2 linked regions of the Coturnix japonica genome follow. The protein of the gene in region 1 interacts with the protein of each later gene in a biochemical or structural test. Links are inferred from orthologs where the notes say so. Each region holds a gene or a part of one and is shown in the gene's direction. Other genes may lie near its edges. The genes, in order: TOM1 and TOLLIP.

Region 1 (3,810 bases):
CGCAGTGAGCTGGAAGTGGTGAATGGGAATGTGAAGGTCATGTCAGAGATGCTGACAGAGCTGGTGCCATCCCAGGCTGAGACTTCTGACTTGGAACTGCTGCAAGTAAGGAATACAAGGCAGCTACTGGTGGGATAGAGGGCTGGCACATGGAGCTCAATTTAGCAATGAGTTGATGAACTGAGATGTACATGCCAGGCATGGCGAACAATTGCACTGGAACAGTTCAGTGTGGGACTTATCAGGGACAGATGGGATAAGGGAGACATGGGGGTTGAGGAGTTTCAGTGACTAAGGGAATTTGCCCTGTTGAGGTTGGAATCATCTCACACGAGGACCTGAAATTCCTGAGGGCCTTTATTCCTGAATAATATGTTAAGCAAGTGGTATGCAATTATTGCAGGGACAGAGAAAACTAGTAACTATAAATCCCAAACTTGGTTCATTTCTCGTACCAACTTCTGTTCCTCCTCTACACTTGCTGATAGACTCCAGTAGGCTCTGGAGTCTGTCTGTTGCATTCAGACTTTCAAATCTGCAAGTGCTCAGCCTTAGCCTGACCTTTGTGGTAACTTTTCTTGCTATGAACAGGAGCTGAATCGGACATGCAGAGCCATGCAGCAGCGTGTACTAGAGCTCATTCCCCGTGTCCAGCATGAGCAGCTTACTGAGGAGCTACTCCTCATCAATGACAACCTCAACAATGTGTTTCTGCGCCATGAAAGGTACCTCTATCCTCCCTGCTCTACTCTTCCGCAAGAGTTGACTGCCCTTTGATAGTCTATCCCACCTTTTGATCTGCCCATGAATGTAATGATCAAGGTGTGTCAACCTGAATAACCCTTTGTAGAAAGAAGAGCTAGTCTTCAGATCTTGCTGACTTATCCATGCACCTTCAATACGCTATTGCTGATAGAATATAAACATAACCCAGAAGAAGAAAGGGACTGCATGAAAAGAGCTGGCTTTCTAGCTCTGAGGCAGACAGACACAGGAAGGACTTGCCTAGGTAAAATCTCTACCTGCTTTTGTCCTCCATTTCACCAAACTCATCTTTTCTACTAGGGTAAAGAGAATTTAGTCTCTTCTGTCTGTCTAGGAGAGCTAGGTTTGAACCATTTTCATTAGAAGTAGCTCTGAAGTTTCACAAGAAGCTTCCTTACGTCACATCTTTGGAGACGTCTTTGGAGACATCAACTCTGAGGGCCCCTTTTTTGTGTCTTCTGTTTAGGGGAGAAATTGGGCCCTGAACAGGGTCCCCCTTTCCTAGTATGCAGGAAAGGGCAGGCTATGCCAAACCTTACTGAGAAATCTCTTGGGCTGAGCGTGAATTAGTATGTGCTACTGAAATGCATCCTGTTTCATCCTGTCATCTTCCTTGCAGGTTTGAGCGTGTTCGGACAGGACAGCCTGTTAAGGTAATTCAAAGCTACTGCCTTTTGTATGGATCAGTTTGCATCCCGCACAACCTGTGATGTCCTGCTGAGTTGAAAAGAGATTCAGACTTGCCTCACTTGCAAGCTATAGGTTTTTCTTTCCCAGCCCAGACACACCAGACCTCACCAGTGTGTAGGACATTGCATTTTGCATCACTAGACTTTCCTTTTGTAGTAGTAGTCTCCTTCCCCTCACCCAAAGAATATGGACAGACTAGCAGTAGATGTGGTTTCTTGGTTTTGAGCATTAAAAGGAACATTTCTCAAATAACCCTCCTTGTATCATCACTGGCCTGTTGTCTGAGCCAGCACTTAATCTACTGACATCCCAGCAGAGCTGGGACTTGGGTACCAAGACGTATTCTGTCCTATTCCCAGCCACTTCTCCCAAGTACAGGCTCCCCAGCTGATATCTTTTGGTGGGTACAGTTAGGGCTTCCCTTGTCAGTGCTAATAAGCTATGACTGGGGAGTCCAAGTGTTCGAGCCTCACAAACTCTTCACTATCTATCTTCCTTTTTTTTTTCCTCCGAAGGCACCAAGTGAGGCAGAGAATAACTTGATTGATCTGAGACCCAGCACTCCCTCTGCAGTGAGACAACCTGAAGTCACCAACAACCTCTCCTCTCAGCTGGCTGGAATGAGTATGTTGCCTCGCAGTATTCTCCTCAGTCTTTCTCCTGTGCTGCTATAAGAAACCTGTAATGTACTTCAGTCACCACCCAAAATATTTTAGCCATATTCATAAAGTAGCCTAGACAGAGAATATTGTCAACTAATAAGCTAATGAAGAAATCTATGCATGCCAAGAGACTCAAGCACGTCTCAACATTAACGCCTCGGATTGTGCAGGAGGTGAACCTTCTTGTGGAAGGATCTCAGTGCTAGGATGTGGCTAAGAGCTGAGCTTTCCAGCAGGGGGGTGAAGGGGAGAAAGTTGCTCTCCCTCCTGTCCCTAGCAGCAGTGCAGTTGTTTCTCTTACCATGTGGTGTGAGGCTGACACCAAGGTCTTGGAGAAGAAAAGCCACTGAGCTTTACTGCAAAGGCAACCGTGAGTATTTTGGGCTCAGGACCCAGATGCTGACAGGCTGTCAGAAAACCTGAGGGATCCTGAGGGGTATCCAGGACATACCAACAGTCTACAAAGTCATTCCTGAAATTCTCACTGACTGTGAGCATGCTCAGTACAACTTGGATGCAATTGAATAGAACTAACGATACTATATTTACAAACAAGTTAGTGGAAATGTTTTTCAAGTCAGAGTTTTTCAGGTGATGCTTAATTCCTGAAAATCTACTCCAATGGGTAACACAGGTTATCCTCTTCCACAAGTTATGGAGCAATTCCCTGTGTTAAATGATCAGGAACATGTGCCCTTCAGAATAAGTGCAGCAAATTGCTGCTGCTGCTGCCAGAGACTGAGCTAAAAATATTTGCTGAGTAGGAGAAGAAACTGATTCTGTCACATCATCAATAACACTGATACACTGCTGCTTCTGAGGGGCAGAATCGATTAGTGGGCCTGGAGCATTTTAACCTGTTTGAATGTTAGCTTTCCACTTAGCACCTCTAAGCCCATAGCTCTCCATTCATGTCTTCATGCTGCTTGCTTACTATCTTTTCTCTCCTATAGCCCTGGGCTCAAGGAGCGTGAGTGCAGGGCTGCACTCCCTCGACACCTCTGGCAAGCTGGAGGAAGAGTTTGACATGTTTGCAGTGACCCGTGGCAGCTCACTGGCTGAGCAACGCAGAGAGTGAGTGTAGTAGCCCCTCTGTCCTTGCCTTCTTCTGAGTGGGGAGGTTGCAGGGGAGTTGGGGTCATGATCCCAGCCAGCAACAGTTGGTGGGAGGCAGTAGGGTGCAACAGAAAGGCACTCTTCCCACACACAGTGTTTGTAGGATGTCCTTCCCAGTTATTCTCCCTTGCTGCCATTCAGTGTTCTCCTGGTCAAGTGGAAAAGAAAGTGGTCTCTGTGTACACATTGGTCACCAATGGACAGTGCTGTGCTGTATGTGCTGTTGAGGCTCAGTGTCAGAGGTGAAGGTGCAGAATGGGACTGGCTCAGTTTTCTTGTCTATCTCTGAAATCATGAGTTGCTCTGTGCATTGACTGGGCTGATATTGAACTTAGTTATCACTGAATATCAGTGATAGCTGAAGTGCAGGAAGTGCACAATCCATTGTGGTTTGCAAGGCAGGGAATTGATATAGGTCTCAGTTTCCCTCTTGGTAAGTGGGACTGGTTTTTCTTCCTCTGTAGTGTGGTTAAGACCTCCAGATGTAAAGCAGTAAGAGTTAGATCTAGTAGTACTGCCTACACACTGTCTACAATGAAGAAGTCTCTTCTCTTCTGCAAAGAGTGAATTTTCTGAG
Region 2 (4,452 bases), on another chromosome or scaffold:
AGGCAGAGATACACAACACATGGCCATTCCACAATATTCTTGTATGCTTACAACACCTATAAAATAGAACCTAAAATGTACTTTGCTAGTTTGAAGGGGCAAATGAATTTGTTACAGGTTTGGAGAGATTATGGGAGAGATGAGAAGAATAAAGATGGATAGAGAAGAGACCTAGGAATTAAAAGAATGACATGGGAAAAAAATGACATGAACATTTTTATTACAAGATAAGTGCAAGTAATTGTCATTATAGCTTCTCTAATTACCTTTCAACCTTTTTTTAATATATACATGATGTTCGTATGTTACAAATAACAGGGTTTTATGACTTTTGTTCTCTCACCTTTCCCACAGCTTACATTCCATTTTAATTACTACACTGCTATCAGATGCTTCACTTAATGCTCTTGCTCCCTATTTGTGGTGATGATGCTCTTGGGGAAGCAAAACCACCTGCCTGGTGGCTGTAGGCGACACGCTGTTCTCGTGGACGTCCACTAGATGGCAAAGCCGGTATTTCTGTTGAGTTTACAGGCCACCTTCAGCTAATAACTAACCTTAAGGTAAGCACATAGGTTAAAATAGGAGTAATATCGACACCACGTTCTTTATCAGCTACTCCATCAGTATACAAGCTTTGTACACGCAGGCCATGTACCTAATATTGTAAGATGCATTTATTTCCAGATTTAGCCTCTTTTCTACCTGCAGAAGCAAGGGAAAGATGACTTGCTTCTTTAACAATTCTGTGGGCTGACTCGATTTCTGCTTCCAGTAGAGGAAGTGGTGACAGTGATAAGGGAATATGAGAGCCTTTCTCTTCTGGTTAGCTTGCATCTGGCATCAACTATATTTGTTCAATGGCTCCCAATCAATTATATCCTGTAGTACTCATTTTTCTGAGTATCAAGACGAGCAGAAAGATGAGGCCGTTCCCACTCCATATAGATGAGATGGCAGTGTGAAAAAGAAGTCAGTGCTATATTTGGAGCGCTCCTAATTGCACTGTTCTATTTCCAGCTGCCGAAATTCACACTAGAATTTTAATTAAGGGCTAAAATTCTTGCAGCGGATCCTAACAACAGGAAACAGTTATGTTATTTAAATAGGCTTTGAAACGATCAGATTTGATCTCCCAAAGCAGCACTCGGATGAATATTAAAGCTGCTTTGTTCTTCTGGAAGGATAAGCAGCTCACTGTGCTGCTCAAGGAGGGCACCTCATCTGGGGCAGCCATTTTGTGCTGTGGACAACTGGTCAGTGCCACAGCGGGGATGACACAAAAGCCATTTTCTACACACACACACTGCACCCTGCGGTCAGACTGTGCTCTCTCATACACAGCAGGAGGTGGCAGAGGCGTCGTGTGGGAGCTCACACTGAGAGAGGTTTCAACGCTGGCAGAAGGGCAGCACGGCCTGTGCCTCCTTCCCGTGTTCTCTCTTAACGCAGCCCAAGGGCACGCCATCACCGCCCTCAACATGGCGGCCCCGCAGCCTCGTTGCCAGCCCCGCAGCGCCCCCTAGCGGCGCCCTGCGCTGCGCCGCGCTGCGGAGCCCGCAGAGCTCAACAGCGCATGCGCAGGACACGCTAACTCATTCCCCCCCCCTTGCTAACGGCTGGCGCATGCGCAGACAGGAAGCACCGCGCACCCCATCGCCAAGGGGCTTCCGGCCCGGGGTCAGCTGACTCGCTGCCTCACGCTGTGACGGCTGGTGCTGCGGGTAACGGGGCGGCCTGGCGGGGCGGCAGGAGGAGGCTCGGCCCGAGGGAGGCGCCATGGCGACCACCGTCAGCACACAGCGGGGCCCGGTGAGTGCTGCTGGCAGGACACGGCTTCGCCCTTGGGTATACTCGCCTCTTAATCCTTGCGCGGCCTGGTGTGGTGTGGGCTCTTCCATCCCGCTTTCTGCCAGGCCCAACTCCCGCTTGCCGGCCGGTGGCCCGTGGGAGAGAGGAAAGTGAACGTGTCCGTCCTCGGTTCGATGTGGTGGCGAGGGGTGAGGCTGCCTGTGCTCCCCGGTCCCCGCCTAACAGGGCAGGGCAGCCGTCCTTCTCTCTGCCCACACGCCTCCGACAGGCTCTGGTGCCCGCTCGTGTGCCAGAGGGGCCTTCTGAAGAAGAAAACAGCGTAAACTAAACCAGAGCTTGATGTATTTCTCCTGAATGTAGTTTAGAGCTTCCTGTATTCCTGCTCGGACCGGGCAGCCTCAGACAGCTGTCCCTGGAAGCTGCAGCATGGGATGTGCTCACTCTTCAATGTGCTGAGGTAGGATGCAGCCGCAGGGCTGGAAACCGAGCGGTCCAGTTGAACAGTCCTATGAGACTGTGCTGAGGGTGAAATGGGAAGCTATTGCTGCCGAGTTTTGCTCTGAAACAACCCTCTACCTTGCATAGGTGCTGTACAGTGCACTGCACAGCTTTCGTGTTGCAGCGTTGCCTAGTTCACGTGCCATGTGCTGCTCCTGGCTGGAAGTATTGAGCAATGCTTGAGAGTTTTCTTGGAGTAAGTTTTTGGTGGAGAATTAAGGTCAAAACAGTGCATTAAGTTAATTCTTTGTATTATGGTTGGACAGCTGCTGTGCTGTGACCTATGAATTAGGCAATTGCTGTCCACGGGGGCCTGGTGTTTTAAAGTCGATGGTGTGATTGCACCCAAATGCTGTTCTTTCAGTTTGTAACAGGTATTACTAATAAATATGTATCTGACAACACTGTTTTAAAATAACACCTAGTCAGGCTTCAGTTGATGTTTGGAGAAGGTTGGGGAACTTGTAGGGAATCAGTGTGAGAGGAAGGGGCTGAAGGAGATGGTGGCCAGCTGTGATGGTTTGGATAAAGCTGGACACAAGCCTGGCTGCAGCACTGATTTGCTGAGACAACATTGTGCTGGTTGTGATACCTCCACGAAATGGAGCGGCATTTCTTTTTGTGGGAAGTTTTACTTGTTGTGCTGAATACCTTGTTGACATTTCATGTATTACTTTTAACCTTGACTTGTCTTAATCAAGCTAAAACCTCCTGTTGGGTTGAGATAAGATTTTAGGGAGGACTTCCTTGGAGTTGGCCTCAGTTTTTTCTTTCTTATATACTCCCAGCACTGTGTGTGCTTTCCTTCTTTGTCTTAACATTTTAGAAACTGGGATAATTTCAAGTGAACTATTATGCAGCATTAAGAAGCTGTCGTTCATAGGTGAGAAGGCCAATACAGTACGTACCGGCTTCCTTAATTCTCTGAAGGGCAGAAGATAGAATTCTGTTTGTTTCTCTACTTATAGTTGCATTGCAAATGAATAGCCACTAAACGGTGCTAAAGGACTGGGAAATGTTTTCCCTTCAGTGCTACAGAACATTTCTACTGTTACTGAAGAGGTAAGACAATACTCAGGATGGTTTCATGCAGCTAAGCAAGCAGTGTGTGCTGCTGACAGTCTTGATCTTAGGACCATGCTTTCTAGTTTGAGGCTGCTTATTTGGTAAGTAAATAAAGTTTTGATTGCTCTCGAGTTTTGCAGAAGAAGCAGAGCTGGAATCCTGTTTGCTAAGGGTAAATATCCTAAAATGTAGATTTCCTGGGCTGACTTCAGGGTAATAGGGAATTAGTGTGTTTTTGTGTTTTGTGTTGTTTGAAGATCAATACAGCTTTTGAAATCCACGCTGCAGCTGAAGATAGAGGGGCTGCTAAAAGGTAACTCTTTTCAAGTGATAGATATCACTAACAGTCTGGTCGGGCTTCAGATTGAGTCTTGAGTTTGAGACCCCAGTGCTGTGTGTTGATCCTTAAGCTGTCCAAACACGCCCAGAATGGGTGTCTGTGATTATCTGCAGTGCTGATGACTAAGTCAGGTCCTCCGAAGTTAAACTGAGTGCCAAACTAGAGCTGCTGAGGTTTTTGCTCCCTTGGCTTCCCTGTTCATTTCTGCTTTGGTTTGAACTCTTCTGTTGTGCAGCTGGAACGAGTGCTCGGTTCTTTTCCTGTTTTAATACTGTCATTTAACTGCGTAAGTATTGTCATCTCTGTTTAAGTGTCTGTTTTGAAATGTAGCTCAGAGCTGCTGTAAACATGACTTGAATTTAAGACGTTCATTCATTCTATCTTCATTATGTAACTCAGTTTTGAATATGATTATTTCTGCTGTAATTAGCCCAGAAATTACAAAATATTTCCCTCCTTACTAAAATAGTGTAGGTTTATCATTGCTTTTCCTTCCCTAAAACCAGTGGTTTTTTTAATTCATTAATGGCTGTGCTTTTTCACTATGGCATGTGCTTTGTAGATCTTTAAGTATCAGTGTGCTGGGAAAACTCAGAGGCAACAGCTTGTGGCAAAATATTCTGTTGGGGCTAAATGTAGTTTGTATACATGGGAAGGGGAAATGCTGTCAAAGTAACAGCTGGACTCATGAAGTGCTTGGAGATGGATGAAAGCAAAGCAGGTGGTAAATTTCTAGC

What was found.
Region 2: the proteins of TOM1 (region 1) and TOLLIP form a complex in vitro, tested with the Homo sapiens proteins (3 studies listed by BioGRID and IntAct, with this or other methods). The link is inferred for Coturnix japonica from reciprocal best matches to the Homo sapiens genes TOM1 and TOLLIP.

The regions. Positions count from the first base shown.
Region 1 is NC_029516.1:47,624,905-47,628,714, reverse strand, and holds part of TOM1 (target of Myb protein 1), read left to right. Parts: coding exon 1-105; intron 106-591; coding exon 592-725; intron 726-1,384; coding exon 1,385-1,418; intron 1,419-1,970; coding exon 1,971-2,079; intron 2,080-3,070; coding exon 3,071-3,191; intron 3,192-3,810.
Region 2 is NC_029520.1:9,919,127-9,923,578, reverse strand, and holds the start of TOLLIP (toll-interacting protein), read left to right. Parts: upstream 1-1,632; 5' UTR 1,633-1,779; coding exon 1,780-1,812; intron 1,813-2,248; exon of another isoform or gene 2,249-2,269; intron 2,270-4,452. UniProt on the Homo sapiens protein: Component of the signaling pathway of IL-1 and Toll-like receptors. Inhibits cell activation by microbial products. Recruits IRAK1 to the IL-1 receptor complex. Inhibits IRAK1 phosphorylation and kinase activity.